3 linked regions of the Drosophila melanogaster genome follow. The gene in region 1 interacts genetically with each later gene. Each region holds a gene or a part of one and is shown in the gene's direction. Other genes may lie near its edges. The genes, in order: dpp, ptc and ey.

The links.
Region 2: of dpp (region 1) and ptc, changing one suppresses a phenotype caused by changing the other (phenotypic suppression), as found in Drosophila melanogaster (3 studies listed by BioGRID).
Region 3: of dpp (region 1) and ey, changing one enhances a phenotype caused by changing the other (phenotypic enhancement), as found in Drosophila melanogaster (3 studies listed by BioGRID).

The regions. Positions count from the first base shown.
Region 1 is NT_033779.5:2,426,217-2,429,971, forward strand, and holds the start of dpp (decapentaplegic), read left to right. Parts: upstream 1-2,155; 5' UTR 2,156-2,834; intron 2,835-3,755. UniProt on the Drosophila melanogaster protein: Required during oogenesis for eggshell patterning and dorsal/ventral patterning of the embryo.
Region 2 is NT_033778.4:8,647,581-8,651,335, forward strand, and holds the start of ptc (patched), read left to right. Parts: upstream 1-2,068; 5' UTR 2,069-2,841; coding exon 2,842-2,970; intron 2,971-3,116; exon of another isoform or gene 3,117-3,473; intron 3,474-3,670; exon of another isoform or gene 3,671-3,755. UniProt on the Drosophila melanogaster protein: Segmentation polarity protein. Acts as a receptor for the hedgehog protein (hh). Associates with the smoothened protein (SMO) to transduce the hedgehog signal leading to the activation of wingless, decapentaplegic and patched itself.
Region 3 is NC_004353.4:702,499-706,253, forward strand, and holds the start of ey (eyeless), read left to right. Parts: upstream 1-2,152; 5' UTR 2,153-2,666; coding exon 2,667-2,775; intron 2,776-3,755. UniProt on the Drosophila melanogaster protein: Involved in eye morphogenesis.

The DNA.
Region 1 (3,755 bases):
CGTCGCATGTAAAGCGGGCCAAATCGAAAGCTATTAGACCTATTAGCATATCGGGCTGGAACATGGCAAATTTAGTGGCAACATTGTTGCCTCCGCGATAAACGCACTAAAAATCAAGTCTTCACCTTTATTACCGCATCGAAGTGCCAGCGTTATGGCAATTCGAAAAAGAATAGGAAGCGATCGTTACTTATAGAAAATATAGATAAATAAATGTGCAAAACGCCAATCGATTGGCGTACATTTCATGGCGTTTACCTGATTGTTGTGGCCAGCCCACAGTTAACTTAATTGCCACTTCCCAAGCGCTTTATTTACGGAAATACTGACGGCTAAGCGACTATTTTACACGCAGAGAAATGAAGTGCAATTTAGCTAATCAGGTAATAGGCAGGCATTTTTACAAAGTGCGTACTTGTTTCCCATAATCTTTCGTTATGTTGTAAGGATGTTATTCCTTACTTTACAACATTTTCATTACATAATGGAATTGTAATTGATTTGAATATCTATATTTCTCTGGGTGCATCGACTGTGTGAAAGTGTTGTCAATGCTGCCGCTTGGCCATAGCCTACAATCGCGATTGGCTGATCGAGTTGGAAAGGAAAATAGCAAGAAATCATAATAACAACAACTAAAATTTTCCATAACCTTAAAAAATAGAAAAAAAATGAGGCAGCTATTTATAAAATGCGCAATCTGCGAGATGCGTGCGGCAATCTGTCCGTCGGTCCGCCGATGCCGCCAGCTGTGTGCCAAGATGCCGCTGGCCCCCCGAAGTCCCCTCTGTGGAGCCCCCGTTGGATCCCCCCTTGGAGCCCCCCGCCGCACTGCGCTGTGTTGTCTGCGTTTATTGATTTATTAGAAAATTCCAATGAACAAGTTTTAATACACGACACACGGCGAACGATGAAGTCGATGTTGTCAGCGTGCTTGTTGTGCTTTTTCTGCTCCTTGGCTGCTTGTTTTGTTGCACTTGTGTTCCTGAGGCAAGCACAATATACGGGAAGAAAGGCTGTGGGAAAGAGACAGAACAGCCGCTGGTAAAAGTAACAAGTGCAATATTTTAATTACATCAGCGGCAAGAACAACAACCAGATCAGCGGCATCAATTGAGTTTGCTGCATGGATTTTGGGCAGCTAGCGTTGCCAGATGGGCACACGAGGCGTATGATTGATATGGTGAGTAAGGCTTGGGGAATCATAGTATCAAGGCCTAAATAACAAATAAAACATTTTGAAGGACAAACAAAATTTTTAAAAATATTAAATAGATCGATGAGTCAAACGGAGCTCATGTGTGTGTTATCTGCAGAGCCTGACTTTTGTGCTTCGATTTCATTAAACTCTCACTTTGGCATATCTCAAAACGATCTAGCTCCTATAACTCGAACAAGCCGAACAATCCGGCAACGCCGATCGACTCGAAAGATTGTCTGCTCGGGACTCTAAGCATTTTGCAATCAATTTAGATTTGCATTAGCAGCGCTGCAGTCTCGAGAAGTCCGCGACTTAGTCCGAGATTTAGAGCCAAAAATAAACCGAACCAGTTGCGGCAGCGCCGAAAAGTCAAATGTGTAACAGCTCTGTGGCTTTGGCTCGAAGAGAGACTTGAAGAAAGTCAAGATATCGCAGCTGAGACAGAAGACAGAAGACTGAACACTAAAGACTGAGGACCGAAGACTCTGTGTTGACTGTAGACTGTGGACCGGAGACTGTGGACTGAAGACGGCGACTGAGAGAGCTGAAATATTGTAATTGTGAGTCTGGCTTGTTTGTTATTGTTGCCTTAGCGGTTGCTTGTTGTTTTTTTGGCTTGATTAATAATTAATCGCACTCGCACACACACACACACACACACATACTGCCTGTTTTAATTACTCAACTTAAATGGCGCTTTGAGCGACTTAAGCAACTTGCCATCGTGGTCGGCAGTGTGTGTGCGATTGACTCTCACTACTACGAGCTCAAAACTAACTAACTAGCTTGTGTTGCTGTTGCTGCTTGTGTTGCTGTTGCTGCTGTGCTGTGCTTTGCTTTGATGTTGCTGTTGCTGCTGCTCGGCTCTGCTTCTGCTTTTGCTTTTGCTGCTCCGTCTCCGGATCGCTTTTGCCTGCCTGCCTGTTTGCCTTGCCTCGGCCGCTTTGGACGCTCATTCAGTTTTTTGCGCTCAACGCTCGTTGTACGGAACCGAAAAACGCGTTCGTTCGTCCACAGAGTGTCGCCAAATCGAGGCGAAAGATCGCTGGTTACAACCGAATATACAGCCTCTAATCACTTTTTTTCTGCTCTGTAATCGTTCGCGGTTTCTGCGGCCATAAAATAAAGTAAATCCGAGTTAAACGCTGATAGTCGCGCCTGAAGAACCACAGAAAAAACAGAAAATATCTCCCGTCGTTTCTCGTTCTCGTTTCCGCGATCGCTCGTCAGCCAGCCAAAGCCTCTCCGATTTTTGATACCGATTCGGTATCAGATAATATATTCGTAACCATCGCCATTCTTGCGAGTGTGCCAGTGTGAGTGAGTGATGTGTCTGTGTGCCAAATCCAAATCGAAAATAGCCAAAGTCTGAGCTTGGCCACCATCGTCAGCAGCAAACATGTGAAGTGCCAGTGATTTCCATAAGCCAAAATCGAAGTCGAAGTCGAATCGAATCGAATCGAAGCCACAGCGAGATAGATAGGTCGAAAGTATTTGAGTGGATATCCGAGTCGAACCAGTGTATAATGTATGCGACGTTCGCGAACTGCCAGAATTGGTTGTTGTTGCAGTTGCAGCCAAAGGATTTGTGGATTTTGGAGCGTAACTGAGCGGCGTGCAGCAGGTGCACCAGGTAAGCCAAGCCGAGAGTGTTAGCAAATAATGCGCATACGCCATGGTGGCTGCGTGTCCAATTCGAGATCAATCGAATCAATTGAACGGCTGTTAAACAGCTGACTGGGAAAACTGGAACTGGGTGCAATGCGTGAGTCACATACACATATACATATGAATACAATGCATATAGACTGGCTGATTACTTATGTATATAAATGTGAAAGAAATAAATACATGTAACTCAGAAGTCAGTGGATTATTTCTGAAACAATAGCAATTGCAGTATATTATGTTCATTTTCTTCAGAGACTTTAGCACTGTTTAGATTTCTAATGATAAACTTTGCAACCATTTCACTTTTATGCATTTACATTTATGAAGACACCTAAAAAATCTATATTACTATGAGGAAATCTAGTTTGCTTTAATAAGTTTGCCAATAGATAAGTCCCTTCCGCCAACTTGATATCACTGCATAAAGTTTCGACAGATTTACGCCAGTATCCGGGGAAAAAGTGAAATTCTATCTCTGGACCCCGGACATTATCAGCAGAGACATGTGGAGATCGGGTGTCACTTGCATATTCATGGGGGCCAAGTGATGAACTGAATTAACGGCATTCCACACCAGTCACAATTAGCGGCTGACACTGACATTGGCCATGGTAAAAAACCCTTTGACCATATGCCATATACTCGTTAATTTATGACGCCATTTGGCTAATTGAATAATTATATGTGACTGGCTGGGCGTGGCTGGGCAGGGCTTGCTTCGCTTAGCTTTGCTTTGGTTTGGTTTGATCGATCACGATTGCATAAGCCATCCCACATGGGATCGGAATCAGCATCGAAATCTGAATCTAAATCTTAATCGGTATCTATATCGATTTATTCGATTTGCCTTGCTAATGCGACTGGGGGCACTAAATCAGTGTCA
Region 2 (3,755 bases), on another chromosome or scaffold:
GTCCATTGGCAGCTGCCGCCACACAGGCGCTGCTTTTGTGTGTGTGTGAATATCAATCTTGCTCTCCCTCTCTTTTTATCTCTCTTGGGGAATTGGAGCTGCATGCGAATTGAGCGACAGCAAAACGAACTGCAAGTCATTGAGAGGAGAGCAAAAACTCGAGAGCAAGCCAAAGATGGCGCAATCTGGGGAGAGCGAAATAAAGCTAAAATATGCATGTTGGAGAAAAAATGCCGCCCATGTCGCCAAAATGCGCCACACGCAGAGTGAGCGGGCGGAGGTGGGAGTAATGGAAAGGGCGATGAGGGAACGATTAGCTTGAAGAGAGAGAACAACAAATGAATGTGCTGCAACGTTAGTTCAGGTGAGCGAGTTAGAGAGAGAGTTGTTGTTTTTTGATTGTAATAGCTCGCTTGGTGGTGGGTCCACATTCACATCTCCCTCTCCCACTCTTTCTCCCCGAAAGAGAGAGCGGGAGCGAAGGGGCACGAGGGGAGCACGATGACTATGCAGTTGCATTCAATTTGAATTTCCATGGTGCTGATGATTCGAGCGCCAATTTTTTCGAAGAGTTCTTATTTGTTTACTTCGTTGTTGTTGCCTCAATTGGAAAGGGAAAATGTGGAATGCGGAGAAACACCAGAAGCAAATGCATTTCCATTCATAAATCCAAAGAAGTTTTAAAGATAACATGTCATTTGGCTTAAGTTCGTGGTGCACAAAAAAGATCGGTTTGCGGTTGTCGCATGAAAATGAGTTTATTCCATTGGTATATTATTATTCAGAAATTAAAAAAAAACTTGTTTAGTCTATTTTTTTTTTTTAAATAAAAAAAAAAAATTCTTTTATAAGTCGATTTTAGAGTAAATATTTAAAGACTACGTCTAATAAACATATAATTTGTTCTGTGTTTTAATTTGCCGGCAAAAACAAACCTACTTGTGTGGTCCTCGCACACTCATAACCCCTCGCATATTTGAGATTCATGGGGCAAAGAGGCTGCAAAAACAATGGAAAGGGAAAAGCAGAAACATCCTGCCGCTCATAATTTAGCATCGGAACATGCAAAAACAGACATCATCGCATGGGGCAGCAGCAACAGCCATAAAACCAACAACACGAGCAATGTAAAGCTAACAAATTTGCCAACAGTTCGCGGCACGGCTACACACACACACATGCATGCGCAGCCTGCCACGCACGCGCTTCCCCCAAACAAATACACACACACACACTGAGACGAAAGCTCCATTGGGCAGCGCTGCCGACGCTGAAGGCCGACATCGGCAGAGCTGAACGTTTGGGTAGGGGACCACCCACATCGCTTGGCGGTTTCAGTTTAATGAAGGCAGAAACAAATTTATTTTTGGGTGGTCCACACTGCAGCGAAAATAAACTACAGTGGCAACAACAAACCAGCAGCCAAGGCACTTTGGGTGGTCCATGCAAAAAAAAAACAAATTACGGCATGCGAATAACAATAGAAATTAGCGCTCTCGTGGCGGAGCTATTTGGGTATATTAGAGCTACATATTTTATTTGTTTATAAAAAGTATAAATGTAAACAATGAGTTCCAAGCATTAAGTCCGTATGCTCAACAATTACATTATCATTATTATTATCACTTAAATATTTACAAAGGATATTTAAACAGTAATAGATATATATTTTATTTCTTAATTTCTGTTAACATATGTATTTACATTGGTAGTTATTCTTTATTTTGCAACAAGCATTCATAAATTTTATATAACAAACTTGGTATTTTCTCGGAAAAACTCCTGAATCACCCCTCGGTATTTTGTGCGTTGAGCTATCGTTAAAGCAGCCCTCGCAGAGAGCGTTCTCAAACCAAAATGGCCGCACACGAAACAAGAGAGCGAGTGAGAGTAGGGAGAGCGTCTGTGTTGTGTGTTGAGTGTCGCCCACGCACACAGGCGCAAAACAGTGCACACAGACGCCCGCTGGGCAAGAGAGAGTGAGAGAGAGAAACAGCGGCGCGCGCTCGCCTAATGAAGTTGTTGGCCTGGCTGGCGTGCCGCATCCACGAGATACAGATACATCTCTCAGACTGCGTGCGATCCTCGAACGAAACGGTTGTAAGTGCGGAGCGCGACGACTTGTTATTCGTATTTCCGACTACTGGCACTCTCTGTGTGTGGTATACTAACAAGATAGATATCACAGAACTCGTGGAAAAGCTAAGATATTGTACCTCACGGATGCGAGGCGAAGTTCATGGATTAAATGCCAGGCAACAACAAAAGCCAGCCAACCAGCCAGTGTTTGTGTGTGTGCGTCGCCAAGTGCAAAGTAAAGTAAAGGTAAAAGAGCGAAAGGCGAGAGAGAAAACCGAATACGTGAGTCGTCCGACTGCCGCTTTTCCATGTGTAAAAGATCTGTGAAAATTCTGTCAAATTCCCCTGAGAAATTGTGCCCAAGATAAAACCCGAAAACCGCGTTTTAATCGTCGAAAAAACCCAGCAAAAGCGAAGCCAGCAATCACAACAAAACAACACAACGAGAGCTCAGATACACAGCGTGCTCAGTGAGTGAGCGAGAGAGCGCGGGAGAGAGCGTCTCTTGATTTAAAATACAAAATAATTAAAAATAAAAATGCGGAATGCAGTGCAAAATGCAGCCAAACAAAATACGAGATTCCAATAACAATTAATCGAACCGAAAGTCCACGAACAATCCGCACACTGTCTCCCAAGTCTCAGTTCTCAGGACGCAGACGAACGGCAGGCACTGTAGAAAGACCGATTCCGCAGCACACTCCCATCTGCACATCTCCGCCACGCGATTCCGTCCGGAATCTGGCTATAAACATAACCATAATGGACCGCGACAGCCTCCCACGCGTTCCGGACACACACGGCGATGTGGTCGATGAGAAATTATTCTCGGATCTTTACATACGCACCAGCTGGGTGGACGCCCAAGTGGCGCTCGATCAGATAGATAAGGTGAGTGCCCAACTACAGTGAACTTTCACTGTGAAGGATAGCCATGTGTTGAATTCAATAATATTCTTGAATCGTATTCGGAGGATCCTTTATAAGTTTAAATGGAAAATCTGGCTCTTTCGAAACTTTTGTTAGTAATCCCTTTTACTTTAAATTAAGCAAAAGATTTGAAGTATTAAGTAAATTTACAATCTTTTTAAAATTTGAAATTGTTATATTGTACAATTCTTGTCATTAGAATATTGAGACACTTAACTAAAAACCATGATGTAGAAGTTCGACTGTAAATCCGAAGAGCAGCGGCTTTTGTTTAATGCGGCCATTAAGTCGCCGGGACAGATTTCAATAAATTTTATTGCCAATATCTCTCGCAATATTTTTCGCGTTTTTTTCGTCGCCGATGTCTTCTTCGCCGGTCGTTTCGATTTCATTTCATTCGTTTCGTTTTCTTTCGTTCGATTCCCTGGTTAATATAGTTGTCTGATGTTCGCTTGCCAGGCAGCCTATTAATTACAGTGATTAGTTGAAATCCACGCCAATCGGCTTATATGCTAATTTTGCTATTTCGTTCTCTGGACATAAAAAGCGTGGAGGATTTACCTCCAAATATAGACATTTGTTTATGAAACTATTCGCCGTAAAAGTAGACGGAATAACCCTTTCGCTGCAGTCTAAAACTACAACAAATTGGATGTTTTACCAATCTTGTTAGTATTTATTCTCTGTGCACCGCCATCAATCCACATCTATTTTCGCTGCGCAGACGTAGACACACAGCAGGACTT
Region 3 (3,755 bases), on another chromosome or scaffold:
ATATCAGATATTTTCGTTGACGGTGGTAACAGATAGATAAGATTTTGTACTCAAATGAGCGAATTGAGAATTAAGTAAATACATACATATGCTTTTATATAACTATTGTAGCTAATCTTTTCGCCCACCCAGCCATCTGTCCGATTCTACTCATATGCTATGTTTGTTATCGCGGTACTCACAAAACAGTCAGAAAGAACTCTATAGTGCCTATATCTTAATATACCCTTGGAGACATTTTGCCCGCAAATGTATTATTGATACCCGCCTACCCAGACTTCCATCCCGTTAACAGCATATATATGTAAGTACATGTATTCCAGATCTCGATCACTTACTGAATCGACGACCTAGCCAATCTCCAAACGAAGAGTTTTTTATTGGCGATTCTTGCTATTATTAATATATGGGTGTCGAAACCCTCGGAGGCGGTCTGCATCTGAAGCAGACTAAGCCGAAACGGAACAACTTTTTGCTCCACGAGCATGTGCCGTGTCGTTGGCACGTGCCACGTGGCGATTGCTTGGGCTGCGTTCCATCCTCAGCACCAGTGCGAAGATAATATGATGATAGCAGGGCTGATTCAGCTTCCTGCGGGGGACATACTTTCATGTGCTACCATGTAGCCTAATAAAAACATTTGTTTCCTCCACCTTTAGGCGTTTTATGATGTAATCTGTGCATATTAAATCTTGAATATTATAAAGGGATATGGCAATCGGATCAAATGAAAATGATTCAGTCTTACCTGTAATAATAAAAATTACATGTGCGAAAGTAAGTTCAAACATTTTATAGTCAATGAAACGCCCAGTAAGTTAAGTATTTAGAACAGTTGCGCGCCTAACATTCTCACATATATTCAGATATCGATCGTGCGTGCATTTTATTCATAAAAATGTCAACGGGCTTGGTTAAATTGTTTAGTGATTGCTAATGTTTTTAAAATATGTCAAATATTTCAACCCCAATTCTTTCAGATTTGCTACAAATTTCGACAGAACAAAATTAAATATTATAAATACAATGTAGAACTATTGCAAGGGTACATTAAAAACATTCTGGAAGTGACTTAGAAGTAATATGCATTATTATTACATTTCACTTTTCAGAAGTCATAAGGACGTTATAAACCGTGTGAGAAGAACTCTTCGCATTGGAGAGCCCAATTGTATTGGAAACAGAAAAATTGGCCGGATATTGCTGTTGAATTTTGTGAATTGCACTTAAATCGACATTATCCCATACAGTCGTGTAGGTGCGCTATAGTTTTTTAATATTTCTCTAGAGGATTTTGAAACATGGCCTTTTAGCCATAACACTGGCCGTCCCTTTCAGGCTATTGGCAACTCGTTCTCTCGCTGTGCGGCGCAAAAGCAGGACAGGAACTTCCTCTTTGGGGCCCACCCAGCCTCCACATGTGACGACAGCTTATGGGATGGTGGCTGGTGGGTGTGACCGTGCTTAGGCTTGTCGACATTTTACTAAACAACCGTACGCCCACACCCAGCTCCCCTCGATATGGCTGTGTGTGTAGGCTCGCACTGCCGAAGCGGAAACGTGCGGGTAGTTAACGGAAATGTGAAGCGCTTATTGTATCGGAATGAAACAATTCCATTGGACGAGTGTGCTGCTGGCAACTTGTCTGGCCAGCTTGAATTCAAATGGAATGCAACATGTGTGTAATTGCTGGGGGGGGGGGGGGTGTGGCACTGGGCGACTTCTCGAAAGGCGGTGAAAGCGGCAGGCGCTGCACCGTTTACACACAGTTTCTTGCTGGAAGGAACAACATCCAGTTCCAGACCAGCACTTTCATGTCTGTTCAGGACCAAACCATTCCATTATGTGCTGCTGGTCCGTCTAGAGTTGGTTCTTCCTTTATTTTCAGATTCCGTTGCCACGATATGCTTAACGACACAACGCAGCTGCAGAACTGCACCGTGCCGAATCGCTTTCATCTTCCGCCAACTAACCTTACACGGGTGCGAGAGGGACAACTGGTGTGCTTCAACAACCAATCATGGGGCTAGCCTATAGCAAATGGTGGTGAGTGGACCAGCCATGCTGGTCTTTGCCAATCGCACGCGGTTCCGTGGCAACAAACCCAGCCTTTTGCGCAGGGGGGTGCTGGCCAGCCGAGGGTCGGCCTAGTCTGTTTCTGAAACGGATCCGGGTAGGCAGGTCGTGACATTATTATTTCGTGTTGCGCTTCTAAGGTAAATACTGTTCCGCCGCCGTGTCGCGAAGTTTAAGAAAGGTTGTTCGATTCACCGTGCGTATTAATCTTTATATCAAATGAAATTACCGGCTAAGTTAGCAATCGGTAGACCCGGGAATAATACGTGTTACGTGCAGTACAAATATGATGCTAACATGAGTGCAATCAAAAGTGGCGTTCGAAAAATGAACAAGTGAACTAAAACAAAAGCGGCTGCTCAGTTATATTTGTGTTTCCGAATTCGTAACTCTTAGGTCCTCACGGCGCGATCAACAATAGGTTTTTTGATCACTGCAGGACGTCATTCTCACCATCTGCGCAAATTTACTCTTAACTCTTGCTTGACTCGCCCTGCAAGAGTTCGCACGGCGTGCGTTTGGCTGAACACAGCAGTCTCTTGGCTAAAGCTTTCATGAGCAGTGCATGTAATAAAAACTGAGATCCAACTATGTTTACATTGCAACCAACTCCAACTGCTATAGGCACCGTGGTTCCCCCATGGTCAGCGGGAACATTGATAGAGCGCCTGCCGTCTTTAGAAGACATGGCTCACAAGGGTAAGTGAATTTTTTAAATTTCTTGATTGGCATCATCGTCTTTATCCGACCCTCTTATAAATATATATGAGTCTTAGCCAACACATATGTTAATGCTGCCCATGGGCAGTTGATCCGGTCCTACTAGGCGAGTGCAGTTTCGTTCGGCTGTTGGTCTCTTTTGGCGCAGTTTACCAATAGATAAAAAGCTTCTGAACTGAATCGTTTGCGAACTCTTCTCTCAAACTCAAACTCCCGAGAGTAAGACGGCTTTATACTCCGTATAAATTGTCCAAATCAAAGATATTCAAATCTTCGCCGTGACTCTTATAATTCGAAAAACCTATATTTGTATTATACCCGTAGCTTGTTGCTAATTTGTATTTAAAGTAGTTAGTGGAAGGAAGAGTTCCCGGCTAGTCGATTTTCCGATGACCGTTGGCATGTCTGTCCGTCAGTATTGACGTCGAGACCTTTGGAAGCGAAATAAGTAGGAATTATGCAAATTCCAGTAATGCATACGCAGCTTAATTTTATATTAAACCATTGTCACTCACTCACATTGTAAATTACAACGCAAAGGCGTTTAATGATCAATGGCGTTCCTACGGGCGTATCTCATGCTATCCCGCGCGTATATGATTATTGAGTACTTCATACTAGCTGACTCTTTCGTTTTATACAAATTTGTATACTCGTTACTCATAGATTAAAGGGTTATTAGATTTTTTAAATTTAAAGTATATATATTCTTGATCATGGTCAATCGGTCAATCTAGCCATGTCCGTCTAGCCATGTCCGTCTGCATGGACGTCGAGTTCTTAGGAACTATAAGAGCCAAAAGATTGCAATTTCTCGTTCACACATGCAGCCCAATTACGGGTATTTGATAGTCAATAAACCGGACTATAGCTCTCTTTCTCCTGTTTTAGCTCATAACGCTAACTGAAAAAGATTAAGCGCCTCCTTCTAAAAGCCCCATAAACGGCCCAAGTAGTCT